6 linked regions of the Neurospora crassa OR74A genome follow. The protein of the gene in region 5 purifies or fractionates together with the protein of the main gene of each other region. This does not show direct contact. Links are inferred from orthologs where the notes say so. Each region holds a gene or a part of one and is shown on either strand. Other genes may lie near its edges.

Evidence for each region.
Region 1: the proteins of NCU07831 (region 5) and NCU03876 purify together in Saccharomyces cerevisiae (affinity purification with western blotting; 10 studies listed by BioGRID, with this or other methods). This does not show direct contact. The link is inferred for Neurospora crassa OR74A from reciprocal best matches to the Saccharomyces cerevisiae genes NIP1 and TIF34.
Region 2: the proteins of NCU07831 (region 5) and NCU03061 purify together in Saccharomyces cerevisiae (affinity purification with western blotting; 4 studies listed by BioGRID, with this or other methods). This does not show direct contact. The link is inferred for Neurospora crassa OR74A from reciprocal best matches to the Saccharomyces cerevisiae genes NIP1 and RLI1.
Region 3: the proteins of NCU07831 (region 5) and NCU07954 purify together in Saccharomyces cerevisiae (affinity purification with mass spectrometry; 6 studies listed by BioGRID, with this or other methods). This does not show direct contact. The link is inferred for Neurospora crassa OR74A from reciprocal best matches to the Saccharomyces cerevisiae genes NIP1 and HCR1.
Region 4: the proteins of NCU07831 (region 5) and NCU08046 purify together in Saccharomyces cerevisiae (affinity purification with mass spectrometry; 7 studies listed by BioGRID, with this or other methods). This does not show direct contact. The link is inferred for Neurospora crassa OR74A from reciprocal best matches to the Saccharomyces cerevisiae genes NIP1 and TIF35.
Region 6: the proteins of NCU07831 (region 5) and NCU05270 purify together in Saccharomyces cerevisiae (affinity purification with mass spectrometry; 4 studies listed by BioGRID). This does not show direct contact. The link is inferred for Neurospora crassa OR74A from reciprocal best matches to the Saccharomyces cerevisiae genes NIP1 and FUN12.

What each region holds. Positions count from the first base shown.
Region 1 is NC_026506.1:1,994,532-1,999,268, forward strand, and holds NCU03876 (eukaryotic translation initiation factor 3 subunit 2), read right to left. Parts: upstream 3,050-4,737; 5' UTR 2,788-3,049; coding exon 2,738-2,787; intron 2,611-2,737; coding exon 2,013-2,610; intron 1,881-2,012; coding exon 1,488-1,880; 3' UTR 1,005-1,487; downstream 1-1,004. Other genes in the region: crf4-1 (chromatin remodelling complex ATPase chain ISW1), read left to right, coding at 1-332, 400-537; NCU03877 (C-1-tetrahydrofolate synthase), read left to right, coding at 4,093-4,737. UniProt on the Saccharomyces cerevisiae protein: Component of the eukaryotic translation initiation factor 3 (eIF-3) complex, which is involved in protein synthesis of a specialized repertoire of mRNAs and, together with other initiation factors, stimulates binding of mRNA and methionyl-tRNAi to the 40S ribosome.
Region 2 is NC_026501.1:4,384,967-4,390,049, reverse strand, and holds the start of NCU03061 (translation initiation factor RLI1), read right to left. Parts: upstream 3,309-5,083; 5' UTR 3,025-3,308; coding exon 3,005-3,024; intron 2,869-3,004; coding exon 2,775-2,868; intron 2,707-2,774; coding exon 2,701-2,706; intron 2,629-2,700; coding exon 2,289-2,628; intron 2,237-2,288; coding exon 2,075-2,236; intron 2,010-2,074; coding exon 1,152-2,009; intron 1,099-1,151; coding exon 788-1,098; intron 711-787; coding exon 678-710; 3' UTR 1-677. UniProt on the Saccharomyces cerevisiae protein: Component of the multifactor complex (MFC) involved in translation initiation. Required for the binding of MFC to the 40S ribosome. Required for the processing and nuclear export of the 60S and 40S ribosomal subunits.
Region 3 is NC_026504.1:1,230,637-1,235,710, forward strand, and holds the start of NCU07954 (hypothetical protein), read right to left. Parts: upstream 3,306-5,074; 5' UTR 3,062-3,305; coding exon 3,043-3,061; intron 2,738-3,042; coding exon 1,948-2,737; intron 1,881-1,947; coding exon 1,865-1,880; 3' UTR 778-1,864; coding exon of another isoform or gene 1-777. Other genes in the region: pod-1 (mitochondrion biogenesis protein), read left to right, coding at 1-777; aod-1 (alternative oxidase), read left to right, coding at 4,877-5,074. UniProt on the Saccharomyces cerevisiae protein: Component of the eukaryotic translation initiation factor 3 (eIF-3) complex, which is involved in protein synthesis of a specialized repertoire of mRNAs and, together with other initiation factors, stimulates binding of mRNA and methionyl-tRNAi to the 40S ribosome.
Region 4 is NC_026504.1:4,018,151-4,023,080, forward strand, and holds NCU08046 (eukaryotic translation initiation factor 3), read right to left. Parts: upstream 2,919-4,930; 5' UTR 2,849-2,918; coding exon 2,823-2,848; intron 2,767-2,822; coding exon 2,512-2,766; intron 2,356-2,511; coding exon 1,707-2,355; intron 1,503-1,706; coding exon 1,278-1,502; 3' UTR 764-1,277; downstream 1-763. Other genes in the region: NCU08047 (hypothetical protein), read right to left, coding at 3,796-4,930. UniProt on the Saccharomyces cerevisiae protein: RNA-binding component of the eukaryotic translation initiation factor 3 (eIF-3) complex, which is involved in protein synthesis of a specialized repertoire of mRNAs and, together with other initiation factors, stimulates binding of mRNA and methionyl-tRNAi to the 40S ribosome.
Region 5 is NC_026503.1:1,003,271-1,008,313, forward strand, and holds the start of NCU07831 (eukaryotic translation initiation factor 3), read right to left. Parts: upstream 3,246-5,043; 5' UTR 2,939-3,245; coding exon 2,566-2,938; intron 2,492-2,565; coding exon 1,509-2,491; intron 1,451-1,508; coding exon 188-1,450; 3' UTR 1-187. Other genes in the region: NCU07832 (pre-mRNA processing splicing factor 8), read left to right, coding at 4,298-5,043. UniProt on the Saccharomyces cerevisiae protein: Component of the eukaryotic translation initiation factor 3 (eIF-3) complex, which is involved in protein synthesis of a specialized repertoire of mRNAs and, together with other initiation factors, stimulates binding of mRNA and methionyl-tRNAi to the 40S ribosome.
Region 6 is NC_026504.1:5,514,067-5,518,926, forward strand, and holds the start of NCU05270 (mitochondrial translation initiation factor IF-2), read left to right. Parts: upstream 1-1,608; 5' UTR 1,609-1,896; coding exon 1,897-2,409; intron 2,410-2,504; coding exon 2,505-3,020; intron 3,021-3,094; coding exon 3,095-4,860. Other genes in the region: NCU05271 (hypothetical protein), read left to right, coding at 1-744. UniProt on the Saccharomyces cerevisiae protein: Plays a role in translation initiation. Translational GTPase that catalyzes the joining of the 40S and 60S subunits to form the 80S initiation complex with the initiator methionine-tRNA in the P-site base paired to the start codon.

The sequences.
Region 1 (4,737 bases), on a different chromosome or scaffold from region 5:
AGGACAGATTCCTTCTGGTGATGCTGGACAAGTATGGCGTCGATTCCGAGGGCATCTACGAGAAGATCCGGGATGAGATCCGCGAGAGCCCTCTTTTTCGCTTCGATTGGTTCTTCCTTAGCCGTACTCCCATTGAGATCAGCCGTCGCTGCAACACTCTGCTGACGACGATCGTCAAAGAGTTTGAGGACGAGCCTAGCAACACCACCAAGGCCAAGGTGAACGGGGTCAATGGCAAGCTCAAGCGTGAAGCGAATGATGAAGACAATGACGAAGACAGTGTTTTGGGCCTGGCTCCTGCCAAGAAGAAGACCAAGGCTAATGGTGTCAAGGTAAACCATCCCCTGCTTTTCTCACTTTGGAGATGTTCGTACTAACTTGAATTTACCCGCGTAACAGAACAAAGCGCTAGACAACGTCAAGTCAGCGTCCGGTAGCAAAGCCACCTCGGCTGCCCCTTCGCGCGCGTCAAGCGTGGCGTCGACGGAATCGAAGGCGACAAAGGGCAAGGCTGCCCCCAAGGGAAAGAAGAAGTAGACCGCCTGATGGTGGTCCAGACCAAAAATACAAGCTACGGCACATGTATTGACTTGGCTTGGTATTCGAAGCTGTAGTTGCGTTTCATATGACTGGGTTAGATTGGGTGAAGGGGCTCGGTTCACCACTGAGAAGAGTCCAGGGAGGGTTAATGCAGTTGGCTCGCGGCGTTTCCGTTGTGTCGTATTCATGTTGCGGTCTCGGTGATGGTTATCTCACCTGCCGTCATTTAGCGAGGGATTTCTCTGCCTACCTGAGGAACAAAAGATATCCTTTTGGTCAAATCCGTTCTCTGATGGATGAATAGGGCATGATGTGCGCAGTCTTGTACTTCCTTTACCCCTGTATTATTGTTTCCACTTGTGTTGGATTCTTATTGACCATAAGGGAGTGAGTAAGCAATTGGCGAAAGACCTCTACTTATAACGTCCAATCTGATATCACATGAACGAGGTTGCGCAAGATAGTAAGCAGAAGAACGACCGAATTCAACTATGACAAATGACTCTTCTGTGCTTCGATAGGGACCAAAGGTTCCTTTCGTGACAAGATGGAAATTACATATCCGCTCTCCGCGCGACTCACTTGTTCGTTCGTTTGCTTCACATCGAACCGCACCACCTCATCGCTCCAATTTTTGCTCCTTTTCACTTTTTTTTTCACCAAATATTGGGTGGAATCGCCCAAATTCTCAGATTAGGTTGCCTGAAAAAAACGCCGTTTGTGAAATGCCCATTTCCCCCAAATTGTTGGATCCCTGGACGCGCGATGTAAAATAACCCGTTTGCTCATTTCCTTCCTCCGACAAGTCGAGAGAATCCTGAACTCAATAACACGACACCCATATTTCGTCCCGCGAATCGCCTTTCCGCCCCTTTCTGCCGCCCCTCCTCGGATCCTGCTTGCTGAAAGTCCGAAAGTTTCGATCGATGTCGATAGAAGGGATCCGTTTAGGCAGAAATGGTCTGCTGTTGTTGCTGGTTGAGCTTGTTTTGCCTCTCCCTCTCGACCTCGTACATAAAGTCAAAGTAACCCTTGTCGAAGTGATGGATACGGACGTAACCGTCCTCACCACCGCTGGCGTAGCTCTTGCCGGTCGGGTCGGCGGCAACCGTGTTGAGGGGACCGAAGTGACCGCGCACACGACCAATTTCGCTCTCGAAGATCTTGTGGTAGAAACGCGCCTCGAATTTACCCTGACGCGCGGAGGTGGTGGTGACATCCATGGCAGCCTGACCACCACCGAGAATGACGAAGTCCTTCTTGCGAGTGATGGTAGCGCTGTTAAGAGGGGTGTCGGCGGGGTAGGTCTTGAGGACCTCCAGGTCCTTAGCTGTGATGAGCTGTGAAAATAATCAAGGAGTGTTAGCATGCGATTGACTGTTCATTGATTTCGGTTTTAAGGATCCGGGAAGAAGACCAAAGAAAGAAAAAAAAAAGGGGGGGGGGGGGGGTTGTGGAGCCATGTGACATACCTTGGAGGTCTTGTCCTTGGAGGCGGTAATGAAGTATGTACGGTCGTGCGACCACTGGAGATCGGTGATGGGCTGGTTGAGCTCGTGGATGGGGATGTTGTAGAGGAGGTCGCCGTTCTTGCCGTCGAACTGGGAGACGGAGCCGTCTTCGTGGCCGGCAATGATGTACTTGCTGAGATAACTCCAGCCAGCAACAGTGGCCTTGCTGTCCTCGCAAACGATAGTCATGGCCTTCTCATCGCTCTGCTCGGCGTCAACATCGAGCTTGATGTCGAGGACAACGATGGTACCCAGATGACCCATGCGCTTCTCCGTCACACCCAGAAGCTTGCTGCCATCCTCACTGAACTCAACGCGCTTGACGGCGGTAGGGAAGTCCCATGTCTTAAGAAGTCTGCCGGTCTTGATCTCCCAAAGGCGGATGGTGTTGTCGGCAGAACCAGAGGCGAGGATGGTGGATGTGGGGTCGACATCAATGGTCCAGATGGCGCCCTGGTGGCCGTGGTATGTACCGAGACGCTCGCCGTTGTGCGCGAACCAAACGCAAATCTGCTGGTCCTTGGAAACTGAGAAGAGCAAATCACCGTCGCGGTTGTACCTGTTGGGGGTAAAGGGTTGCTGTTAGAGGCTGCATCTCTATATGCCCGACATGCCAAAGCCAGAACACCAAGAGGGGTCGGGTCGGCGGGTAAGGTATGCGATGATGATGCGGAGGGAAGACGAACTTGATCTGGGTGAGGGCACGTTCGTGGCCCGAAAGAAGAATGGGCCTCATCTTGATTGTGGGTTATTAAATATGACGAGGCGTGGACGGCGGTATGGAAGTGTTATGGTCGTTAGAAGACACTGAGTGGATTCGTCGTCGAGAAATATCGCGGGGGGGGGTTGCACGACTTGGGAGGTAGGTGGGTGGATTAGTGTCTTTGTAGATGCGGTCGTCGTCGTCGGATCGGTCTTTGGTGTTCTTTCTTTGGGTGGATTTCCACTCCCAGTAATTTTTCCGCAGATTGTGCGCGATAGGCTGGCTGGCTCTGGCGGATTCTGACGGCCGCGGGGCGAACCAACACCTATCCCTGCAGATGCCAAGCTGCCCCTCTCCAGTCCCTCGTCCCAGCCAGCCGTGTGCCATCCATTGAAGCTGCTGGTTTCAGTTCGGACCGGACTCTGGACCTTGCGATGCAGCCTGCCACCTCGATCCGCCGCTCGCAGCCTGCCGGCCCGTCGACAGCCACCGATAAGAAGTTGTGGCTCAGTCTGTGACTCAGAGTTTAAGAGTCAGCTGTATTCGTCAAGCCTGTGCCGCGGCCGCAAGCCACACCAACTTCAATCTAGAACAACGACACAGACAGGACAGTGCGAGCACATCATGATCCGAGCTGCTACCTGCAGCAAGCCGAGAACTTGTAGAGTCATGGATGCAGCATCTAGACACCCACTTCAATTGCAGTTATATGAATGCCCTCTTCCGGGGGTCGCATCGAGGAGGAAAAGTTCTTCAACTCTCGGAGATTTGTAGACGGAAATAGAGGCTTTTCTAACGAGACATGGTAGGATTCTTGCAAGAATGCATGGTGAATACGTACTATTTTGAGAAGCTTGGGTTTGGGCTCTATTCTATTTAGGTTATCTCATTGGCTTCACGTTTTGTTGTCACATTTACACTGGTCATTTGCGGCACGTCTTGAGACGCTCACCTTCGGTGACTCCTCGAGAAGGGAAAGAAAGAAAAAAAAAAGAAAAAAAAATCACAAATCACGAAACCTCTATTCCCGCCAGCAAACCGGCGATCATTGGATCCTCGACATCGATCCCCCGTCGTCTACCTAGGCGGGAACCCATTGTGACTCTTCTGTGCGGCGCAGAAAACCCCTGGGTCCCGAATCCGTCTGGTCCCACCCCGTCGTGGAGGTGCCCGGGGGCGTCGAGAGAGCTTGGCCGGGCGGAAGTCTTGAGCTTCTGAATATCCCTTACCCCGAGCCTGCGTCCGCTGCTGTTCAGTGTGATGTTGTTACAGCACGCACGCAGAAAGACCACTGCACCCTTCTTCTAGCTCTACAGTACCAGTCTGCGTCGTGTAGGCATGGCCATCTCCAGCTTCATCCAGAGGGTGTCTTCCACGTCAAGGAAGTCGCGTCGAGCCGGAAGCTGTCTCACATCCCTGTCCGCACACGGGTCGCTGAACACACGGCGGCGCATTCAAGTCGAGCATACGGGACAAGACGTGCTCAAAAGATGGACATTGTCGTGGGGCACGGAATCCGACTCTCGGAGCTCTACCTCGGCTTTCGTCGCCTCTGCAGCTGGTACCACTGACTTCTCCGCCGCCCCGCGATCCACCTGCAGCCGCCCTAAGAAATCCCGTTATTGGCGCCTATCTCCAGTGACGGGGCTTACGGGGTCGATTCTGGTGTCACCGTCATGCGCCGGGGCAGCAGCTGCTAGCGATTTTGGAGCTAATGCGCTGCTCTCCCCCTCATCTTCAACTCTGCCTCTGCCTGACACTTTACCCTTTGCACCATCTTCCTCCTCCCGCTTCTCTCACATTCAGGGTCCTGTCTCTCGATACGCTGCTGCTTTTGGCCATCCGCGCAGCTCCATCAGGACATATTCCAGTTTAGCTTCTCCCAGAGCCGCAACAAGGGAGCCTGAAGCAGCAATGGCCTCCAAGATCGACGGCACCGCGCTGGCCAAGCGCATCCGCGACGGTCTCCGCGCTACCATCGAC
Region 2 (5,083 bases), on a different chromosome or scaffold from region 5:
CGGCGGCAAGAGAAGCGCGATACCACAACTTGAATGGATGCAGTTCATATATGTGTATGTGTACAAAAACAATTCAGATATTCCCACTTGAAATTCAATATGTATTCATCAACTAGTCAGGTCAATCGCCTCTCTTGCAAACCTCCCCTTAATCCATTCTTTGTGCTTTGGTCCCCTCAAAACAACCACTTGGTTCTGAGAGTTCCGGCGGCAGTCGCCCTGCTTGACCCGTTGCCCCTCAATCTACAAAAAGTTCCAATCCAGGTTGGTGGTTTCCCCCCGTCCGCTGTTGTAGTCAACCCTCAAGCAAGGGTTTCACCAAAACCAAAAAGACAGCGCAAACTTTCTCACAAAACATGTGACGGAGGGGTATATCTCTCTCTTTTCGTAGGACCAGGCAACAGGGAACTGACTGCCGCCGCCGGGGTTAATCATTCGGCGCGTCGTCCTCAGAGGAAGAGGAAGAGACAGTTTCGAGATCAGAACCAGAACCGCCGCCGCCGCTACCGCTACCATCCCCGGCGCCGCAATGAATGGAGGAACTGCCATTTTCTTTTTGGACGCCTAGAACGCCGGAATCCGATGCATCATCATAACAACGACGGGGGCGTTTAGTATTGTTGCCTCTGCCGCTAGTCTTATTATTCTTGGGAAGAACATCATTGGAGACACCGTCTTTAACTGCTCTTCTCGGGATCGTCCAAGAAGAACTATAGGGGAAAGCAATGTTAGTATGAGGTCGCAGGATGGGAGAACTTTTCCAAATTGAAACAGAAACAAAACTTACGTAGTTGCCACTGAGCTTCTGCTCCTGGTCAAGCTGAGAGTTCAGCTTGTTGATGCGAGGGCGATAGTTGGTAGGATCACGGCGGAAAGTGACATCAAGGTTCTTCAAAAAGGTGTTGCAGCCAGTAAGCAAAGACTCGGGCTTGTTGGCGTGAGCGTCGATACCAGGCTTGCCATCAAAGACAATAACACGGTCGGCAAGGTAAGTGGCCATGATGAAATCGTGCTCGACGATGAAGGCAGTCTTCTTGGCGTGCATAATGAAACGCTTGATAACACGGGAGGCAATGATACGTTGCTCGGAGTCGAGATCTGGAAGACGGTTAGAAATGCATCTTAAGGGGGTGGGAAAGAGGTTCACGTACAGGCAGAAGGCTCATCGATGAGGTAGATATCAGCAGGAATACCGAGAGCAAGAACAATGGCAACTCTTTGCAGTTCACCACCGGACAGATGCTTGACTTCCTGGTCAATGAAATCATCAAGCTTCAGAGGCTTGACGACGTCAGTCTGGAACTGAGGAGACAAGAAAGCAGCCTTGATCTTCTTGAAGAACAGCTGGCGAACGGTACCCTCGAACTTGGGAGTGATGGTCTGGGGCTTCATGGAGATCTTCATCTCGGGAACCCTCTTGGTGCCGTCAGGCTTAAGAACACCGGCCAAAAGACGGCAGAAGGTGGTCTTTCCAGTACCGTTCTCACCCATCATGACGATAATCTCGGAATCAGAGAAAGAACCGGCGTCGATGGACAGGTGGAAGTTGCCCATGGTCTTCTCCATGGCAGGGTACTTGAAGGCGCGCGACTTTTCCTGGATGAACTCCTCAGTGCCTTCGGCAATGCGGAAGGTCAAGCTCTCGTCACGGAAACGCAAGTTCTCAGTAGGGATGTGACCATCGAGGAAAATGTTGATGCCTTCACGGACGGAGTGAGGGAGGGTGACGACACCGTATACGGCGGGCTGACCGTAAAGACAGCAGACGTAATCGGAGAGGTAGTCGAGGACAGACAAATCGTGCTCGACGACAATGACGTAGTCGTCGGGCCGGAGGAGAGAGCGAATGATGCGGGCGGCACTCAATCTTTGCTTGACATCGAGATACGAGGAAGGCTCGTCGAACATGTAGACATCGGCCTTCTGAACGCAAACGGTACCGATGGCGAAACGCTGGAGCTCACCACCGGAAAGGAGGGTAACATCACGGTCGTAGATGTGGCGCAACTCTATTCAAGATCAGCCAGGGCGTCCAAATAAGCAAATCACAAAGCGCAAAGCATGTGGAACCTACCAAGGGTGTCGAGAACCTCGTCAAGGTTATCGAGAGAGCGGCGGCCCTCAATCAGGAACTTGACGCTCTTGTCGGGGGTGCGGATGGCCTTGGGGATCTGGTCGACGTACTGGGGCTTGACAACAGCCTTCAGGTCATCCTCGAGCAGCTTGGTGAAGTAGTCTGCGATTTGTCAATCCTCTGATCTCCTTCCAAGGTGAGCCGTATTCCTTACTCTGCAACTCAGAACCGCGGAAGTACTTGATGACGTCCTCCCAGTCAGGCGGGTTGTCGTACCTGCCCAGGTTGGGCTTAAGCTTTCCGGAGAGAATCTTGAGCGCGGTACTCTTGCCGATACCGTTCGTTCCGACAAGACCCAAGACGTTGCCGGGACGGGGCATGGGAAGACGGTGGAGCTTGAAGCTGTTGGCGGCATAGCGATGGGTGATCTGGCTCTCGAGGTTGGTGGGCAGGTTGATAATGGTGATGGCGCCGAAGGGGCAGCGCTTGGGGCAGATACCACAACCAATGCACAGCTGTTCGGAGATGAAGGCGATGCGCGACTCGGGAGACACCTAGATATCGGATGTCAGGAGGGTGTTGTCGCGCAAAACACGGGGATCGCAAGGGGTCCGGAGAGATCTTACCTCGATCTGTTAGAGAGCAGTTAGCTGTTTGGTCTTGTTACCGCACGAGGACTATGGAGAAGAGGGAAGCTTACACAGAGTTTACCGGAGCGCACAACAGGGCATGACTTCTTGCATTCCTGGCGACACTTCTTGGGCTTGCACTTGTCGCTACTAACGATAGCGATACTACAGATACGAAACAGGCGAGGTCAGCAAGGTGGAAGCCAGACAGCGCATACAGCCAGACCAGCACAAGCCAGTATCGGCCGATGCTTCTACAAGCAGAGCACACACGCGTGCGGCCTTGGGATCGTAAACGCACCGAGTGAGTTTGTCCGACATCTTGTCTGTGATTTCGCTCTGCGGACTGATCGAGATGGGTGACTGTGGGCGGACCGCTATCCTAGGCGCAAAGCGGGAAATGGGGGAGGGGGAGAAATTCTCAAGATGCCGCACGTCTCGGAATACTACGAGCAGAGTGGAGAGGGCCAAACAAGGCGGAGGAGGCTGACACTCTTAAGTTTCTCCAGAGGCAACGTGGGTCGACGCCTGGGTTGTGGACAATGTCAGTTCCCTCGTCTCAAAAAATGTCGAGACCGCTGCACCGTGCGCCGAGTCTGGTGGCAGGGCGGATCGTAAAAAAAAAAGACCCCGCTTGCCCTGATGTGAAGTAAGGTAGGTCGTCGGGCTTCCTACTTAGGTACCTCTAGCCCCGCAACGCTATGTACCAACATGGTAGCAGGGTTGGAGCTACAAAAGAGGTGTAAGCTGAAATGTGCCACGGTTGATAGGTTACCTCTTAAAGGTACCAACTTTACCTTGGTATCTAATGCCAGGTGAAAGCCCACTGTTCCTGTTTCGCTGTCATTGCTTGCCTTAGGTGCCCCGTGTGCACTTTTTGTAGGTATGTAACGACCCTCCATATAAGTAGTAGGTACCTAAATTCCATCTCCCCAGTCGGGCTGAACTCTCAGTCCACCCCATGATTTCTGTCTCAGAATTCCATAACATGACAGGAGCTTCTACTATCCTATCATTGCGGTTGCACCAAGTATCTAGCTGATGTTCACGCAAGTGGTCGTCCACATTGGGTTCCACTTTTACTATTGTTCCTCTGTCCTTTGTTCTGTTTCCGCTTCCCATTGATCTCCCCTTCATTTCAGGACAACTTCTGCCCAAAGATTCTTACAGTGACCCAAGTGGCATCGTGGAGAGTTGGTTAATCATGGGCGTGTACTTAATGTCTTGCTGAAGTCAGTTTGTGCTCATTATCAGCCAAAACAGATCCGAGATCTGCTGAACACAGCCTTACATCGCCTATTTTCCCGAATACATGGTCATCGCTTCCAATGGACGACTATAATGCGGATGATGATGACTAGACAGTTTCATTGATATTGCCACTTTCTCTGTCCAGGTGATGATAGTTTCCTCCGTGGATGAACAGATCCGACCCATCCTTCACAAGTGAGCGTTAATATCTAGTACTCCCTCGGCTAAAGATAATGCGTCAATGGCAGCGTATTGTTTGTTTGGAGGGGAGTACTTGTATGGCCGACGACATCAAGCTTGATCATGACGCTCGGTAGGAGGATGTGCATAGTTACCTAGTTAGGGTTGACAACTAGAAGCGCTCGGACTCCTCCCACAACCGTATCGTTTAAGGAAATCACTCGCAGCATCACGGATGCCGTCAACGATCACGATGCAGAGAGGCGCAGGGTTACTGACATCAAACCGGACTTCCGAACAGAGCTCTGGCTGCCTGTCGACATATGTTTCCTGCGCCCCGGCCGGGCAGTGACTCACAACCAATCTACTCTGATAGCAGTCTATTCCACATGTTGTCGAGGCAGAAATGACATCGGCATCAAGACGTTGAAGATAGTTGCCGACAGAGGTCAATGTTGGCAGTCAAGGAAGGCTGGTGGCCCCAGCAGCACGGGATCGTGTGGATCCATCGTCCTGGACGGATCTGCTCCAGCTGCGCCAGGGAAGCGGTGCCTCTACCATACCCACTTGGACATACTCATAATCTGAAGGGAGTTTAGGACTGGTATTTCTTTGGTCGGATAGGCATGAGACGAGGATAAAATCTTTGATTAGGTATATCTGTTTCTCTTTGACACTTTTGGAGGCTCTCGGATTACGTTTGTGGAATGGGTTAAATAGAGGTGGCCCCGCACAATCACCTACAAGATGTTGTCGTCCTGACTGCCTGCCTGGGTTTGCCTGCGTCGGCTCGCAGTAGGTTCTCTTCGAGCCGGAGCTCCAGTGGCGGGAAATCATCCAAATCACCTTGGTGCCGGTGCTCGCGGTGTACCAAGTTGAAGTGAAGCACCAGGAGAGACCAGTGCATGGCTGGCACCTGCACCGGAGCTGACAAAGAAAACCCCTTCGA
Region 3 (5,074 bases), on a different chromosome or scaffold from region 5:
AAGAAGTTCTCCCGACTACGGATTGATGGGCTGAAGATTGACCACTTGAACCGCGGTGTAGAAGGACCGTTTGGCTGGATTTACGAAGGCAACGTCGATATGATTGCCGACATCATGTTCCCTGCGGATCCTGAGGAGGGTCTAAGCAAGGTTGTCGCCGAGTTTTACGACAAAATGGAAGAAGCCGTAACCAGCAACCGCTACCTCAAGATTCTAGACGGCAACATTTCTCCCAACAGCCGAAGCAACACCAACAGCCCCACCCTCGAAAGCGGGCCAATTCCGGAATCTGCCTCTGACATCGACCTCACCGGCCACCACGACGAGCTCCCCACCTCGGAGCAGCACTTCCCCCCCTTGATCCCTCCCGCGACTCCCAAAGAGCCAGCCCCGATTGAAGAAACTCCCTCCTATCTAGTCATGGACCTTCGCATCCACCTCAACGACGTCCGCGCCGCTGTCCCTCTGTTCAACAACCCACACATGAGCTACGTGAACCAAGCCCTAGTACGGCCCATCGTCGCCTACATCAACGCCAAGCGCACCTACATCCCCATCAGTTGCCGGATCGTAAAGCGGCTGACGGACTTTGACGGAGCTTGGACCGTTTGGGACTGTGGGCTGATGGACGATATGAGCGCCGAGGTGTACCGTGCTTTTGCCAGAAACGTAGAGGATCAGCAAAGTAGGGTGAGGAGATTCAAGCGCGTGGGACTGTGGACGGTCAGTCTCGTGGTACATGCGTTGCTGGCTGGCGTGGCGGGAGACTTGATGTGAGCCGTCATTGGATATGACACTGACGATTATAGACTTTTGCCTGTATTTTATCAGGCGGGTAGAGGAAAAGTCTTGTTTTGTGACGATATGGGGTTGTGTTGTACTATCCTTTTTTCTCTCTCTCTTCTCTACTTTACTTTACCGTGAGGGGGTTACCATACCTTTCCAAGCGGTATTTCACTGTACTATACATACATCAAACATACTTATATGGCTCTGAAAAACAGGAGCTCGAAGGAACAGACAGGCAGGCAGGCAGGCAGGCAGGTTATGGTTATGAACAGGAGGGAGGGGATTTGAAACTGGTTTACGCTCTTAATGACCCGGACGGATCGAATTACTGGCTGGAATCATATGAATGCGGGAGGCGAGGTGTTTTGTGTGCCCTGGTTTTGTTGTCAGTGATGATGGTTGCTCAGGGCAGATCAACATCGCGATCGGAGTTTTAAGTGTTTTGATTAGGGTACAGCAACATTGTCTGAAAAGTTCACATGGTGTTCATGGTCGGGAAATATCACCTGTTCACTGGTGTAAGTTTCTGAGAGGGTTCTGAGATGGTGACTGAAATAGTGTTGGTTGTAATTTTAGCCATGGCATCGATAAGAGAACCTCACACCAGGATGATATGCAGCCTGGACTTTCGAAACGTGATGCTCGCCTTCATTATTGAATGCACTCTAAATCTACTTTCCCCCATGCTATATGGTATCTGCTGCCTTTTCCCGTCACCCCCAAGTCGCGACTCGATCAGTGCCCCAAGAGGCCATCCTCCTTTTTTCGTCCAGTCTGGCACTGATGACGACTCTGATCCCTCATGCATCCATCCAAGACATCATGCCACTGAACCTTACGTCCGGACGGCGGACGTGCCGTGACCGTTGCGCGGGTGTCGTGGTAGTCTACGCTTTCTTTTTACGCCATGAAACACACGCAACCGCTACTTTTTTGCTTCGCTCCGAATGCTTCCCGGGTGAGATGAGTATTATACCTGGTGAAGGGGATGATTCTACATCCCTTGATGGGAAGAGGGACTCGAGGCCTCTCTTCCTCACAAAGCGAACGATTGTGATTTATCGGTAGAAATCTTTCACATGAAGTCATCACTAGAGCGAAACGTTAGCAATCGTTCCCCACGCGTATCTTTTCTCACTCCACCTCAAGCCAACTTACTCTCCGAAAGCATCATCATCATAAGTGTCGTGGGCCTCAGCAATGGCACCACCACGACCAACACCAGCGAGCGAGGTCTTTGTCTTGGCAGCCTTGCTCTTCTTGCCACCCTTTTCGGCAGCCTTCTCCTCCTTGAGCTTCTCGTTGCTGAGAGCAGTCAAGGTGCTAGCAATCTTCTTGATCTCGTCGCTCTTGAGGTCCTTGGCGAGCTGCTTGGAGAACTCCTGGAGGAAGAGGGTGTAGTGCGGCTTGGGCGAGAGCTTGCCGATCATGGGGCCAAGAGTGGTGCGGAGGGTCTCAAACTGGGTCTTGGTGGTAGGGTTGAACAAGGCCAAGGTCGAGATGTCGATGGTGTTGTTGGGGTCCTTGGGGTCGATCTGGACAATGGTGCCCTTGCTGACGACCTTGCGGTCGTTGCTGATGCCGATGCCGGCAAACAGGTCCTCAGCGTGTTTAAGATCGGACTCCTTCTGCTCGCGGCGGAGGCGCTCGCGGCGCTCGGCCTCGGTCTCCTCCTCCGCGTCCGAATCCTCAGCCAGCTGGCGGGCGCGCTCGGCCTGACGCTCGGCGATGCGCTGCGCCTTGGACTTCTTGTTGGCGGCGGCTTCGGCCTCAGCCTTGGCCTTGGCCTCGGCGGCCTTCTTCGCCTTCTCGCGCTCTACCTCGGAGTCCTCGGCGGCATCCCACGAGTCGAGAACGTCGCTCTCGTTTCCCTCCTCATCGTCGAAGCGGCGGCGGCCGGGGGCAAGGACAGGCGAGTTGGGGGCGGAAGACTCCTCCTCTTCCTCGTCTGTGGTGATGAGGGGTTAGTTAGTCTGGGTTTCGAACAGGTTGTGGTGGCGCAACAGGAAAGTCGATGCAAGAGTTGGTTCTGGTTGATCTGTATATATAGGCTGCGTCGCTGAAGTCCAATTCGCCTCAAACATGGAAGCCTCGAGGCATATGGCAATGTTAACAGCGTCTATCGCAAGCCGGCGCAGGCATCAGGCAGCCTTGTCACGGCGATCGCGGCCGCCCACTTTCGCCGACATACACTGTTCGCGGGGTTCGTCTTGCGCAAAGAGGGAAAAGGCAAGGAGAGCGAGGAAGACTTACCCCACTTCTTTCCAGACATGTTTGCGATTTGGTAGTGACGATCTAGAAAACCGAACGGGTCTTTGCGACAACGATGTCTGGCGCGACGAGGAAAAGTTTGCGTGCTGTGGTTGGTTGTGTCCAAACTGCAAAAGAGAAGCCGATCGCAGTCTTGAGAAGTTGAAAAAGCGAGCAGGGGTCAGCCACCTTGAGTGTGGTTCCGTTCGCAGTGGGCAAAATAACTAGGTATTGTTAGCGGGGTTAGAAGACCAACAGTGAAACAGCAACAGCGTTTCACAGGTTCTTCAAGGTTCTTTAACGTCTAAGATTTTAATACAATGCCAAAACTGCCAGGGAAAAGGGCTTTGTGACCAATTGGATTTCATTGAGAAGATGCCCGATGAAGATGAGGAGGAAAACCAGAACCTCCAGACGCCTGGGGCGGCTAGTCTTCAATACACAGGAATCGTCCCCATTTATTCCTCCCGTTTATGTTTTACCAAGCACCTGACTTCCTCGTACGTCTTGCTTGCTACCATCCCTTCTGAATAACCACTTCCTTCCCATCTTTGGTATATATCAATGCCTTCCCTCCAGAAGGCTTTATGCGGGGTCAGTGCTGTGTCGCACGGGCCCGTCAGTCAGGGTCGGTGCTGAGTCCTGACAAAAACCATCAGTTCGCCAACATGCCCGTCTTTATTTCCCTTTTTCTTTTCTTTTCGTTCTCTTATCTTTTAGGACATCTTGTATATGCACGATGCATGCACCATATATGTACGGCCTCGGTCAAGCAGCATGTGCTAGGTGCAGCAGGCCTAGAAGGATGGCTTTTTGGAGAAGTCTGTTAACGCATGTGGAGAGAATGATTCATAAACAACTAGGTGGATGCTAAAGCTCTGCTCTTTCACCAAATGTTCTGGACCAGGAGTCACCCGAAAATGCCCTGCGTCGTCAATATTTTGTACACCACTTCCACCCCGCTTCCGACACGGGATAATATTTGGACACTTGCAATTGTTCCTTCGATCCTACACTCTACGAATAACTACCACTGACGTCACAGCAAAGTTAGAAGTTTAACATGAAGCCATTCGCAACTTATGGCCCAAGACATTTGTTTGTATATTTGCAGGTTCGGAAGCAACCAAGCCATTGCTCAGTCATGCTGTGTGTCCTATGAGAACAAGTGCGACTGGTGTTCCGTTTCCCTCCGCTCGCTATTACTGTCAGCAAAATCTCCAACACATAACTCGCCCAAGTGCCCTGTCAACCAACCAACCAACTATCAATGATCTCGAAATCTCCTGTGGCTGTCTTTGTGTTGAGTCACAATCCCCCAGTCTTAGTGTACTTGCTCAGGGGCTCGCTGTTCTTCTGGATATGTACAAGGCTAATCCCGAGAATGTTGCGGAAGTGGAACTGCGCCCTATGGCTTGTCACCCGGGAGGTCCCGACACCGCCAAACAACGACATCCAGCTGACCACCACAATCGATGCCCGGTTGCCACTTTGAGGATTCAAAATGAAATTTTGTCCTGGTTGAAGATCTGGAGCTTTCCGGGTTCCTTTCGCTAGCGCCCGCTATTTGCTTGTTCCTGGATTGTCTTGATGTTAAAAAATGGAGATTGCTTGGGCAGTGTCGGAACTCTATTGCTCCTTTGAGACCAGGGACGGACAAACTCGGTGTTTTCAGTCAGCTCTCGTATTCCAAATTTTTCCCTGAAAGGAGTTGCAACTGGGGGCAGGAAAGGACGATATAAACGTCCCGTGTCTAGTGCTGTCCGACACATATGGACCATCATCACAAACCTCAAGCGAGTTCCATTACAACTTCACATCACTCCCTAAACTCTCGATGAACACCCCCAAAGTAAACATACTCCACGCTCCAGGACAAGCGGCCCAACTAAGCCGTGCCCTGATATCAACCTGCCATACTCGGCCTCTCCTGCTCGCGGGCTCTCGAGTGGCCACTTCCTTACATCCAACACAGACGAACCTCTCTTCCCCATCACCTCGCAATCTCTCGACAACAAGCGTTACTCGACTGAAG
Region 4 (4,930 bases), on a different chromosome or scaffold from region 5:
GACGACCCTAGCGCGCACCAACAGAGTCGAAAGCAGCCGCTCATTTCAAGCAGGCGCGGAGCCACTTAAGGTTGGCGGTGGAGCTGAGCTAGGGGTGGGTTAGAAGAGTGCCGTATACATGATGAGAGGAGTCGGAGGAAAGACGGGGGATTGGGAAGAGGAAAAAAGGCGGAGGGAGGAGAAAGGTATGGGGGGTTAGGGAAAGGGAGGAAGAGGAGGGTGGAACATGCCTGAAAGAGGTGAATGGAAGCGAGAATGACGATGAGGAGGAGAAGGAAAGGCAGGAAGGGAATGATACTGATGGAGAGAGTGATCATGACCGAAGGAGGAGGAGGAGGGGAAAGGCAAGAAGGTCTAGGGATGAGAAGGTGTAGGGGTTATGATGGGCGGGAGGCTATTGTTCTTGTGTGTTCATGGTGTTGTTGCTGAGGTTTCTTTGCGCCGAATGTCCCCCCCCCCCCCCCTTTTTTTTTTTTTTCATTTCATTCTCGAGTGATATTTGTTTCTTATTTCTCTTATAGGCAACCAGCCATTTTTCTTTGTCGACATCTTCCAAGACTTCATGATTTATGAGGGCAGGGCGGAGGGATGAACGACTTTTACGGTGATGAGATGAATGAGACAGGAAGATGAAGAGGATGAAGGGACGTGCCGGCTGCTTTGAGAGAGCTCAGGAACTTACGGTCTTTGCGATTGGTCGGTTGAGTTGATGATAGGACATCATAACAGATTCTGTCACCAAGTAATATAATGTTTGATGCCAGGGACGTTCAGCGGGATAGATAAATGCACTGATAATAATTCAAGAGTTCAGAGAGGCTGTCAGCTGTTTTAAACACTGGCATGCGCCCTGAATCGACAAGAAGACCACACTGTATTCTGAAGAGCTTCGGTGCGTTTTGGGCTCCTGTAGTCCGGGCATGTTGCCAGTCTATTACACCGATCTTGTTCAACCTGGAGTTAGCCCGTCATCCATGTAACAAAAGTCAACTATAACCACCTGGCCACCCTGGCCCGATATGCTTAAAAGGCGGAAGAAATCTCTCGATCATGACAAATTTTGCCGCTTGTTCCCCATTAGTATGAACCCCCACAGCAAGAAGAGACAGGAACCAGATCAAGTAATAGTAGTATCAAAGAGTCCTTTCCCATTTTGATGACGCACTTCCTTGTGCAGACCGCATTAGGGACCAAAACATCGCTGCTTCTTCCATCATTCCTCTAACCCCTTCCTCCCTCTCCTCCGCCTCCTCGTCCGTCTAGAAGACCCATTAAGTTTACGCAGCCTTCTTCGCGAACTCAACCCTAAGGATCAAATGTCTGAAACCGAAACCGTCCATCTTGGCGCAAGCCTTGACAGCGTCGCTGCGATCAGCGAAACTGATGAAGGCGAAGCCCTTGGCAAGACCCGTATCGCGATCCTTGGCAAGGAAGACACGAGTGACGCGACCGAACCGCTCGAACATATCGCGAAGCTCTTGTTCCTCGGCCATCTCGGAGACCTAAGCGTAGAAAACATGTTAGCACGAATCAGTCCCGTCATAATAACCCCTCTTTAGGAGCAGAACAGAGCAGCTTTTGCAAGTCTGTCGCCTACTCCCTCTTTCCCTTTTCCTTCTGCTTCTTCTTCTTCTCCACCACCACCACCACCTCCTCCTCCTCCTCCTCCTCCGCGTCCTTTTGGGGGACACTAGGGGCAAACGTACGTTGGTAACTCTGAGAGTGGCGAGATCGTCGCGCTCGCCGTACTTGCCGCCCATCCTCTCTCCAGCAGCCGCGGCCCCACCGGCACCACGCAGCGCAGGTGGCACGTACGAGCCCTTCTTGCCCGCGCCCGCCGCACCCTGGGAAGCGGCAGCAGCCTCGTCAGCAGCACTGGCGGCGACGTCGGCGGCAGCGCCGGCCTCGCCGATGGGGGCCATGGTGTCCTTGTAGGGACAGCGGGCGGTGAAATGCTCGCCGTTGCAAATACGGCACTTGACCTTCTTGTCCTTCAACTTGTCCTTCATGGCCTGGGCGTTGGGGTCCTTGCTCTCATCCTTGGCTTCCTGGCGCCAGTTGAAGGAAGGCTTGAAGATGATGTTCTCGCCGACCGAGGTGGTGTCGGGGGCCGGGCCGGCGCCGTCCTTGACGCTAAGGCCGAACTTGGTCCACGACTTGCGCTCAGCGACGCGGGGGTTGACGACCTCACGGTGGGTGATGTAGCGGATGCGTCGTGTGGTCTTGACCTTCTGGCCGTTGTCGTTCAGGCGGTACTCGATGATGGTCGTGCTGCCATCCTTGTTGGTGATCTTCTGAGGGGGCGGGAGTTCGGTGGAGGTCTCCTCGAGCTCGTCATCGTCGGCCCAGTCGTGCCTGAATGGTCGCGAACTATGTTAGACTCTTACTCTCCGAGAAATCAAATGCATACGTGTTGGGTTGTGAAGCACGCCGGAAAAATGGCAATCGGGGGAATCGGGGGCGTGGATGCAGACGGGCGTTTGCTGTCGAGGCAAGCGGAGGAGTACTGACTTCTGTTGAACGGCAGCCATCTTGACAGTATGTGGTTGTTTTGATTCCGCAGGTTCGGCTCGTCTGGTGATGGGTGCGGTGGATGACTGAAATGGCCGTGGGTTGTCGTCGCGATGGGTTGACGTTGCGCTGGTTTGGCGGCGATTTTTGGTGGGGCTCAAGTTTGAAAAGCCAGGGCAGTTTTCCCCCCCATTTTTTGGAGGTGGGAATTTTTGGATATTTGAGTGTGGGGCAAAAATTGTCTTGCTGACTCGGCTTTCACTCAGGAAATCAGCCCTGTTTGGCAGCTAACGGTGCTCTATCCTACGTACAATATCAAGGCAGCAGATTCGCACATGACAGCCAATACGGCTCCCTACAAACGAAGCTTCGTTCTTTGACAAAGCAGGACTGGTCGCATCCAGACGTATACGTTGAGGTGTTTTGCCCCTTCTTTCATTATCCGCTTTGGGTTGCTTCCACTTCGCATCCATTAGTGGGGGCATCACAGGCATCACAACCCTAACCCGAACGTTGCTCCTCCAGGCCTACCAGGGGCAGGGCGCGGCGCCGCAACATGGAGCTAGCTCAACTCTCTCGACACCAGGACGTGTTGTACATAGTAGGTACCTTTGTTTGCAAGTTGATGGCTGGCACCGAGGTTAAAGTTTGAGAGTTTGAACTCGATTCAGATTTCTCCAAGCATCCATATCTGATGCTCTAAACTCACTGCTATCTAAGTTGGCCACGGAGCCTGCCGGGCACCAGCTTTCTTCTGACTCTGTGACCCCCCTCCTCCGATTGAGAATCGAAAACCACCCCGCCCTTCATGCCCACCACACTCACCTCCTCAATTAATCACCTACATACACAGTAGGTACCCCAACATTACATAATACAAGGTATATGGCAAAAAAAGACAAATCCCGCACCAAATCGACCTGACAAAGGAGATCGTTCACACGTTACGTTCCGGATGTCGCCGGTGGTATAAATGTACCCTCATCACCTGGGTATCCAGTATCTTGCTTCCTGCATCCTTATTCCATCCATCTAACCGGTATCTTGTTTTTCGACTGAACCCGACCTTGAAAAAAGAGAGACAAAGGAAATGGTGACGGAGTCAATCAGCGGTTCGATGGCGGTTTATCTCTATCAGTTGAATCCCCAGGCGCCCTTTGCTCTGCAAGTATTGTCGCTGACAGATACTCGGAAACTTCAGTGGTCGTGCTTCCTAGACGTCCAGAAATGGCGATGCGTTGAATGATGGTATGGCGCCAGATACGAGTAAATGCAAATCACAGCTCAAGGTGAATATGCTGAGTGACAGACTTGAAGTGACGATTTTCTCGGGATTGGAGGAAGGGCACGATTCGGCGGGGGAGCAGGTGGGGGACCTTCCGCCAGCTGTGTCTTATTCCGTCGCGAACCCAAGCCGCCGTTGGCAACCGACAAAGACCTAAAATGGGGCGCGGGTCTCGAGCCCTGCTTCGAAAGTGAAGTTGAAGATATCTGGGGAAGGTCGCCGAGATCGTCACCGAGGTCACTCAGATCAAGGAAACTGCGATCAGGTTCGCTTGACCTTTCTGACAGCTGAGACTGCAGACTAAATCTTCTATCGGCGCGCTTCGATGGGCTACCTGGGTAATCGCCGACGGACGGAGTGGATCTGAGCATGTCTTGGAAAGCCACTGATGATGGAGGAGCATAGCCTGACCTCTTTTCAGGGCTACCATGTGTGACAGGTTGTGTGGGAGAGAGATTCTCCCAGTCCTCGCCGCTGTCACAACGTTGCTTGGTTGCGTCCGGCAATCCCCAAGACGAGAAAAGGGACTCCGGTTCCGGTGCTGTCTCATCAGCTACTTCGATTGAAACACCTTTCCTATCAAGCGACGGCGATTCAGGCGACGGTTGATCCACCACAAAAGAGAGCGGGCGTGAGTTGAGGCACAGAGCCGAGGGCGGGGGTCTCCGTGAACCGCCGCGCATCTGACAAGGTAGCGGAGGAGGTGGAGAAGATGGTTCAACTTCCTCTTCCGGGAGGGATTTTGTTGACCTAGTGAGCGAATAACGCTGGCTGGATCGTTTGCTAGAGCTCGAAGGGCTGCTGGGATCGAAATTCCACGTGCTCAAACTCGAGAGGGGATGAGAGGCGGCGAGACGCATTTCGAGGAGATGATTCGACGTCTGCAGAGACTGTCTTCTGTCACTGATCGCTGCTGCATTCGGTCTTGGTCGCGGTCGGGGTTGGTCATCAAGGGCGGTGAGCTCTGGAATGGAGTCCTGAAGGTTTGCAAAAGAGTCGTGAATAGGCGAACATGCTGGTGATGACCCAGCTGACGTGAGGGCTGTACGCTGCCCGGACGACAGATATGAAAACCGCTGAGTACTGTCCCTAAGTCCGTCTAGCTGTCTACCATCATGAGAGATTACGCTAGCG
Region 5 (5,043 bases):
ACCAAAAACACAAATTAAACCGAGAGAACCTATGATTCTAGACTAAACTTCGCTGGGTCTAACCATGGGGCAACACATTCAAGGGGATAGCACCATTAGAAGACCTGGGGAATTGCTTTTTAGTCACACACCAAAGCCCAATGCAATAGCAAAACGAAAACCACCAATTTCCCTATTCCACAGAGCTTTAACCACGGACCGCATTACCCAGAGCACCACCAGTGAACTGTGTACCACCGGCCTGCCGTTGAGGGTTGCCGCCCGTCCTCGCGCCACCTCTGCCACCACGCTGGCCACCACCACGCTGGCCACCGCCACGGTTGTCCTTCCTGGAGAAGGCGTTGGCGGAGCCCTGTGTCTTCTGCTCGAGCGTACGCTCGTTGGTCTCAATAAGGGAGCTGGCCTTGTCGGAGAGAGTGAGAGCCAAGCTCTGGAGACGGCTGAGCTCAACACCCTTGCGGAAGATGACGGTCTCGGTGACCTGGTCAAGAGCAGCCGCGAGCTCCTCGTGGCTGATCATCTTGCTGACGACAGCAGAGACCTTGCGAGAGTCGAGCTCAAACATGGAGCTGAGGGTAGCAATGGCGAGAGTGTCGTAGAAAGGAGCATAGGTGAAGAGGTAGGTACGGAGACCCTCCTCCTGGATCTGCTTGGCGAGCATGGTCTTGATACCCTCGGTGTTCGGCATCAAGTCCCAGATCTTGATGCTGTGAATGAAGTCGGTGGCCTTCTTCCACTCACCAGCAGCAAGGGCCTTGGAGGCCTGCATGACGTGATCCCTGGTGTTCTCCGGAGGCCCGGTAAAGATCTGGCGTTCATGGTACTCGAGCATACGGCGGTAGGTCTTGCTGATGATCCTCTTCTTGACATCGGGCGAAGAACCGGTTTGGGCGAGCAGAGGAATCTCGAGGAGCATGCTGCAGGTAAGGTAGACGCACTCAAGGAGCTCGAGGTTGATGTGCATGTGGAAGGGAAGCTGGCGCTGCTTCTCGAGGCGCTCCTGCTCAGGGGTGACCTGGCTGTAACGCTGGATCATGACGCCCTGAGCAAGAAGCTCCTTTTGACGGCCACTGCCGCAGATCTCCTGGAGGGTGTTCTGGGCGTCGTAGACGAGACCCTTGCGGAAAGCGCAAAGGCCGACCTGAACGAGGGTGCGGTTGTAGAGAATCTGGGTGGCGATGTCGAAGTTGGCGATAGTCTCCTGAAGATGGGAAGTGAGCATCAGGTCGCGAGACTTGTAGTACTCATCGTGCAGAGCCAAGAAGTAGATCTGGCAAAGCATGGCACGGGCGCGGATGATGCCCTCGCTGTTCTCGAACAGGTAGTTAGAAAGGATGTTGATGAGCTTGCCAGCATCGCCGGATTGGCTGCGGGGGGTAATTTCAGAATCGGCCTCAGCAGAAACCTGCTTCCACGCGTTCTCCTCGAGGATCTTGACGACTTGGGCGGGCTGAAAGAAGATGATTAGCAAAGACGGCTGAGTATTCCAGCATTAGCTCTATACATACCTTGTAGTAAACATGGTCCAGACGCCTCTGGATGATGCGGTTCAAGCTCTCCTGGGGAACCTCGAGGGAAGCATCCTTGCGGAGGTGCTCGTAGTAAAGAAGACCACGGAAGATGGTGTTGTAAAGAGAGCCCTCATCGGTTAGCCTGTCGATGTACTCAGAGGTGTGAGGATCGATGGCTTGGAGGGAGCGGGTGAGCTCGTCATCGAGACGCTCAATGAGCGAGACAACGCTGCCGGGAACCTTGAGGTACTTCTCACCCTCGGGGATGGTGGGGAGCTTGTCATCATCATCCCACTCCTCAGCGCCCTCAACAACAACATGGTCCTTCTCCTTCTCGAGGATCTCCAAGAGAGAGGCAAGGTCACGCTCAGCGGCCTTCCACTGGTCCAAAGGCATCTGGGCGGCGCCACCAGCACCAAGATCGAAGCGGGCAGAAATAAGGGTCTGGAGGACACGGATCTTCTGGTAAGGGGTAATGGGGACGACCTTGTTGAGGGTCTCCATAACCTTGATCTGCTCGAGGCGGTCGGTGTTCTTCTTGCCGCGAGACTCGATAATGGCGCGGAGGTGCTTGAGGATGCTCTCGGGGGTGTACTGAACAACCTTGCCGCGCGAATCGACCGTAGAGAAGCCCTTGTCGTCCTCTTCCTGCTGCTCAGCACTGACGACGGGAGCCTCGAACCGGACCTTGGAAACAACCTTGGGCGCGGCAACCTCATCATCCGACTCCATGAAAGCGTCCGCATCCTTCCTGTAGGCATCGATCTGGGTCTGGTACTCCTTATTGTTCTTGCGGATGCGCTGCTTGACGGCGTTGAGACCACGGGCATTTGTCGCGTTCATCTTCTTGGGAGTGACCTTTTGCTTGGCGAGAGTCTCGTTCATGAAGTCCTCAAGATCGGCAATGGCCTTGATGTAGGACTTGGGCGCCTTGCTGCCATCTTGGAGCTTGACGACCTGACGGTTGAGCTTGTCGAATTCTAAAGCGGGGAGGGGAGTAAGTATCGGTGCAGGACATATCGAGGGTGTATGCATGCATGAAAGATATACGAACCGTTGGCGATAAGACTCCAGTCGTTGATCTTCTGGCCGTTCTGGATCTGGCTGATGGTGGACTCGAGTTCGTCGAAGCGCTTGTCCTTGGCGCTCTTGACCTTGGTGGTGGCTTCATCGTCGCTCTGCTCTTCCTCCTCCTCCTCGGACTCGTCGTCGCTCTGCAAGAAACGGGAGGCACCCTTCTTCTTGGTTCCTTCTTCCTCGTCGCTGCTGGACTCCTCGTCGCTCTCCTCCTCGTCAGACTCCTCCTCAGACGAAGACTCGTCCTCGGCCTGAACCTTCTCCTCCTCCTCCTCCGAAGTGTAGACCTCCTCCTCCTCGGAGCTGCTGTCGGTGGAGCTGTCGTCACCGCCGCGGAAGAAACGAGACATGGTTGCGGTCTCTTTCGATAGACTCGGAATAAATATGCGGGTTCCGGGGGTATGGGCGCGATGCAGAAGTCCGGGTTACCGGTATGGGTACTTGGAGTGGTGGACGGAAGTGGTGATGGTCCGGATGGTTGGCAAAGCAAAACCCGGCTGCGGCGAGGCGGACAGAGGGGTCAAAGAATTAATTTTCACTGAAAGGCCGTTTTGGTGGGGGCGATTTGGGGCTTAGCGAATCGAGCGGAGCTGTTTGGGCCTCGAGCGCTGTAATGATTGGGTATGACTTAATCCGAGCAAGGGGTGTGGGGGGAGAGGATACTTGCTCCGCGGGGGGGAGGCTGAACTTATGAGCTGAATGTACCTGCTTCCGCTTGGAGATCGCAGGACGGGATTCCTAGAAGATGAAGATAAGGTCTGAACCTTGCAGATGTTCGCATGAGGGATCTGTCAGAGGAACGGGTTTTTGTGTATACTTTGGCGAGCGGAGCGAGGGAACAATATCAAGCATTGCTTTGTCAGGCCTTCACTATGAGATTCAACACCTGTCGTCTGGGTACTTGGGCGCAAACAGCCAGCCAGCTGATGCCCCACCTTCAATGTATCAGCTACCTGAACTGATAATGTATCACTATACTCGGTTACATGCATCTGAGACGTGCTGTGAGCTTGTCAAGCCAGATCTACCACGTAACGGGGATTGCGTATCGAAAGTTACAGTACGTAACAGGAGACGTTTCGCCACGAAGTCGAGAAGTGACAGCCCAGCCTGCCCAGTCGCTGCAGGCAACCAACCCCAGGCCCTCTTTCACTAACTGGAGTGGCGGGGACGCTACCGGGCTGCAGCTGCCAACAAGCACCTGCACAGCGAAGAATCCCGCTGCCAGGTTTCCCGTTTTGCGCGCCAGGACCTGGACCGCCCGCCCTGACCTCTGAACTTTATCGACCGCCCACGCAGCTGTCGCGAGGCTGTTCAAGTTTTTCGTAACGAGGCCAACCTGCCAACGTCAACGCCAGCATCCTGGCGCCACCAAACCACACTTTCACGAATACAACATCCACCTCTCCATTCTCAGCTTGATCGACCATCGCCGCGATTTGGTGCGAGGTCGACCTACGCCCATTTCCATCTAAAACCAATGGGAATCTAATATTTGCCAGTCCTTTTTTCTCTTCCTCAGCGAGACAGGCCTTGGAACGACGCACGCGGACTGCAAACCGCCATCGCGCGGACAGGCGACTTCACGGTATCCAGCCTTCTATCCATCTCGTCGCCAACGCCGACTGGTACACGCTTCTGACGAAGACGATTACAACGAAACAACCACATAAACGTCAACAAAGCTTCATCAAGCAGAAATCGAAAAAATGTCCTATCCGCCACCACCACCTCCTCCCCCCGGCTGGGGCGCTCCTCCGCCGCCATCAGCACCTCCGCCGCCGCCGCCTCCGTCCTCTCTCCCACCTCCTCCTGCCCTCCCAGCACCGCCGCCGCCTGGGTTCTTTCCACCAACCGACCCTCATGTTGCCAAGTTCGCCCAGAAGAAGAAGGAATGGCTTCGCATGCAGAGAAATCGCTTCGGCGAGAAGAGGAAGGGCGGATTTGTTGAGACGGAAAAGGCCGACATGCCACCAGAGCACTTGCGGAAGATCGTCAAGGATATTGGGGATGTTTCGCAGAAAAAGTACACCAGTGACAAGCGCAGCTATCTTGGGGCGCTCAAGTTCATGCCCCATGCTGTGCTGAAGCTGCTCGAGAACATGCCCATGCCTTGGGAGGCTGCCAGAGAGGTCAAGGTTCTCTATCACGTCAACGGCTGTCTGACCCTTGTGAATGAGATCCCGAGAGTCATTGAGCCCGTCTTCTTTGCACAGTGGGCCAGTATGTGGACGGTAATGCGCAAGGAAAAGAGCGACCGCCGGCTATTCAAGCGCATGCGATTTCCACCTTTCGACGACGAAGAACCGCCCCTGTCCTGGTCCGAGAACATCGAGGACGTCGAGCCACTTGAACCCATTCAGATGGAGTTGGATGAGGACGAAGAAGCAGCAATCTATGAGTGGTTCTATGACCACAAGCCGCTTCTCGACACGCCCCACGTCAACGGGCCCAG
Region 6 (4,860 bases), on a different chromosome or scaffold from region 5:
ACTAAGATTCTTGCCCTGACGTGGGACGGTTCACTCCAGATGATCGACCCGGCGCTTGACGACGTCATTGAGAACTCTGCAACACTCGAGTTCCACGATCCTCGCAATGTTGTACCAACGTCGTCGATGCAAATTGGAAGCAATGTATTCCTGGTGGCAGATAAAGACCGTGGCGTGGGCGGTCTTTGGCAATGGTCCAGAACACCAGGAACCCATAACTGGGCTGAGTTCAGGGTGCTCTTCGAGGGGACGCTTCCTGTCAGTATCAGGAAGTTCCGGCGCGGCAGGACACGGCCAACGTGGGAGCAAGGAGCCTGGAACGCACCCAAGTACGGCCGGCTCATTAGCACACCGAACGATGCCGAGATGTTGGGAATAGCCATGGACGGCACCATGTATCACTTTACGCTGCTTGATCAGCACGCATTGCGTCTGTTGCGATTCATTGTCAACTTGTATAACCTCAGGGGGAAGAGAGACGAGGAAAGGCTGCTGCACGCGGAGCCGAACCTGGGTCCCACTGAGCCGTCGCATGTGGATGGTGATGTGCTGAAGACACTCTTGGATGCGGAAGTCTTGCAAGAGCTGATCAACACGGAGGAGCTGTTGGCGCGGTTCAAGAGCCTGTTGGATAAGTTGGATGGAGGCAAACATACTGCTGAGTGGATGGGCGAGGGCACTGCGGACCAGTATTTTGAACTGGCGTATAACGTGTTGATGTATTATCTTAGGCAAGTTTACTAAGTGCTTGGAATTCTAAGGCGGGGGGGGGGGGGGGGGGGAAGGGCAAGATACACTGGTAATAAACGGACGTGTGATCCAGTGTCGGCCTACAAGCCGTCCTGATGAATGCCTTGGTGGTGTAGCTACAGCATAATAGAAAAGCGAATAAAGAATATCACTAGCAACATCTGGTTAATGAAATACCCATTATGACAAGGTGAGGGAGTTGGCCTGCCCCCTTGGATGGAATATCGCACAAAATACACCAAAGTGGTAGAAAGTAAATACAGAAATTAGCCCAGCAAGTGCCCCACTTGTGCCTTAACAAGCAGGTGCCCCGCATTCTGCACCAACGAGTCGGTCACTGTACTTGTACGCGGGAGTGCAGGAGCTTCCACTTCTTTTTCACCACTGCACTGTACTGTACTGTATTTGTCTTGACTGCTGTCTCCAACAGTCTGTGCAGTGTCAAGTCAAGGGCTTGGTCAAAGCGACACCTCCTGGCTCCGGCACAAGTAAAAAAAAAAGTTTGGAGTGGCGATCCTTGTCTGGATTTTTCTGCTGAATCGAGACTCCTTTGACTTTGCGACTTCGACTACTTGGGATTGAGTTAGAGAACGGGACATGATTGCCGTTTTTTGACCGTAGACGGAGACAATACCAAACACTTTATACGGGTTGAAAGAAAGCGCATAGGCAGACGGTGTAAGTACAGGTACTGAGATAGGTACGTACCTGACCTCTATATAGTGTAGCAACAAACCAGAGCGGGATTCGATACAAAGAACAACGAAAGAAAAAAAAAAGATCCACGGTGCCAAGTACCTACAGTACCATCGATCCACTCTGCAGCACCACCACCGAAAAGTGATACAAGTGACAAGCCCTATCCCGTCGACAAGGGGGGACCTACAGCACCAAAAAAAGTACGCCGCCTGCCTTCTTTAGCAGCCAGCCATATCGCATATAACGGCCCAGTAGCCCCAGTCGGCCGCCCCACGAACCCACCACCAGAACCACCTAGCGAGCAACGAGGTCTTCACCCGGACTTCGACTTTCGTCACAAGGAGAGAAGGAGAGCCCATCAGGATCCTCTCCCCCGCCCATCCTACCGACGACATCCCCGCCTCAAGGTATTCCCCGGTCGACTACCAACAGTCCAGTTAGCCCAACATGGCGCCCAAGAAGAAGGGAAACAAGAAGGCCAACGATGACTGGGAGGCCGAGCTGGGCGAGTCCATCGCCCCCGTCAACAACAACGGCGCCGATGCTGCTGCCGCCTCTCCCGCTGCCGCCGACGACGAGGCCGCTTCCGGTGGTGGCGGTCTGATGGAGAGAATGCGCAAGGCCAAGGAGAAGCGCAAGAAGAAGGGTCTTGCCGACGACTGGGAGGCTGAGCTGGGCGAAGACGCTCCCGGCGCCGAGAAGCCCGCTGCCGCCGAGCCCGTCCCCGATCTGTCGGCCAAGGTCGCCGAGGAGGCCAACCTCGACGACGAGTTCGCTCTCCCCGAGAAGAAGGGCAAGGGTGGCAAGGGCAAGCAGCAGCAGCAGCAACAGAAGGCTGCTCCCGCCGCCGCCGCCAAGAAGGACGAGGATGCTGCCGATGAGGATGGCCCTAGGGTGTTGACCAAGGCCGAGAAGGAGAAGCTCAAGAAGGAGCGTGAGAAGCAGCGCAAGAAGGAGCAGGTGAGTACCCAGTCATTATCACTATTACCCACTAATGACTATACATACATCAGACACAAACGGAAGACTAACAACAACTTCTTTTCACTAAACAGGCTGCTGCTAAGAAGAAGGGCACCACACCCGCCGCCGCCGCCAAGGCCGAGCCCGCAAAGGAGGAGAAGAAGGCCGAAACCCCCAGCCCCGTCTCGACCCCCGCTTCCACTCCCGCCCCCGAAGCCGCCGCCGGTGGCAAGAAGAAGAAGCTCCCCGCCCACCTGCTCGCCCTCCAGAAGCAGCAGGAGGAGCTGCGCCGTCGCCAAGAGGAGGAGGCTAGGCTCCTCGCCGAGGAGAAGGCCAGGATAGAGGAGGAGGAGCGCGCCGCTGCCGAGGAGGCCAAGCGCAAGGAGGAGGAGCGCGCCCGCAAGAAGGAGAAGGAGAAGCAGAGGATCGAGCAGCTCAAGAAGGAGGGCAAGTTCATGACCAAGGCCCAGAAGGAGGAGAAGGCCCGCAACGAGAGGAAGCTGCAGCAGATGTTGGCGGCCGGTATCAAGGTCAACGCGCTCGAGGGTGAAGAGTCCAAGAAGAAGCCTGTCTACGACGACAAGAAGAAGAGGGCTGCTAACAAGAAGGTGAGTCTGTCCGGGATTCTTGCTACAATTACGGTATACTATGGACGGCGCTAACCAGTGTCTACTTGCTACAGAAGGACGAGGAAAAGGCTCTCGCCGAGGCCGCTGAGCGCGCAAGACTCGCCGCTGAGGCTCTGGTCAAGGAGCAAGAGGAGAAGGCCCGCATCGAGCGCGAGAAGGCCGAGAAGGAGGCTGCTGCCAAGGCTGAGGCCGCCAAGGCCGCCGCTGAGGACAGCGTCGACGAGGACTGGGAGGCCGCTGTTGCCTCTGACAAGGAGGATGTCAAGGACAGCTGGGACGCCGACTCCGACGAGGAGGAGGAGACCAAGAAGGAAGAGACCAAGAAGGAGGCTTCTAAGCCCGCCGCGGCCAACGGCAAGACTCAGGCCAAGAAGGAGGAGTCCGAGTCCGAGTCCGAGTCTGAGGAGGAATCTGAAGAGGAATCTTCTGAAGACGAGGAGGCTACCGCCAGGGAACTGGAGGAGGCCCGGAGGAAGAAGGAGGCTGCCGAGCGCCGCGAGAAGGCTCACCAGGCCGCTCTGGCTGCCAGGTCTGCGGACAACCTCCGCTCGCCTATTTGCTGTATTCTTGGTCACGTCGATACTGGTAAGACGAAGCTGCTCGACAAGATTCGTCAGACCAACGTCCAGGAGGGTGAAGCCGGTGGTATCACTCAGCAGATTGGTGCCACTTACTTCCCCGTTGAGGCCATCAAGCAGAAGACGCACGTCGTCAACAGGGACGGCAAGTTCGAGTTCAAGGTTCCCGGTCTTCTTATCATCGATACCCCCGGTCACGAGTCTTTCTCCAACTTGCGTTCGCGTGGTTCTTCGCTCTGCAACATCGCCATCTTGGTTGTCGATATCATGCACGGTCTCGAACCCCAGACTCTCGAGTCCATGAGACTGCTCCGTGAGAGGAAGACGCCCTTCATCGTCGCTCTCAACAAGATCGATCGTCTTTACGGCTGGAAGAAGATCGAGAACAACGGCTTCCAGGAGTCGTTGGCCCTCCAGAACAAGGCTGTCCAGAACGAGTTCAAGAACCGTCTCGAGCAGACCAAGCTCGCCTTCGCCGAGCAGGGTTTCAACTCGGAGCTCTTCTACCAGAACAAGTCCATGGCCAAATACGTCTCCTTGGTCCCCACCTCTGCCCACACCGGCGAGGGTATCCCCGACATGTTGAAGCTCATTGTCCAGCTTACCCAGGAGCGCATGGTTGGCTCTCTCATGTACCTCTCCGAGGTCCAGGCTACCGTTCTCGAAGTCAAGGCCATCGAGGGTTTCGGTATGACCATCGATGTCATTCTCACCAACGGTATCCTCAGGGAAGGTGACCGCATTATCCTATGTGGTACAGAAGGCGTCATCAAAACCAATATCAGAGCCCTGCTCACGCCCGCGCCGCTCAGGGAACTGCGCCTCAAGTCGCAGTACGTTCACAATAAGGAAGTCAAGGCCGCTTTGGGTGTCAAGATCTCTGCCCCCGGCCTCGAGGGTGCCATTGCCGGTTCCCGTCTGCTTGTCGTCGGCCCCGACGACGACGAGGACGATCTCGAGGACGAGGTCGAGGCTGATCTCGCCTCGCTCTTCAGCCGTGTCGAAAAGTCCGGCCGCGGTGTCTCCGTCCAGGCCTCCACCCTTGGTTCGCTCGAGGCCTTGCTCGACTTCCTCAAGGAGTGCAAGATCCCCGTCGCCAACGTCGGTATCGGTCCCGTCTACAAGCGTGATGTCATGCAGTGCGGTATCATGTTGGAGAAGGCTCCCGATTATGCCGTCATGCTCTGCTTCGATGTTAAGGTCGACAAGGAAGCGCAGGAGTATGCCGATCAGCAGGGCGT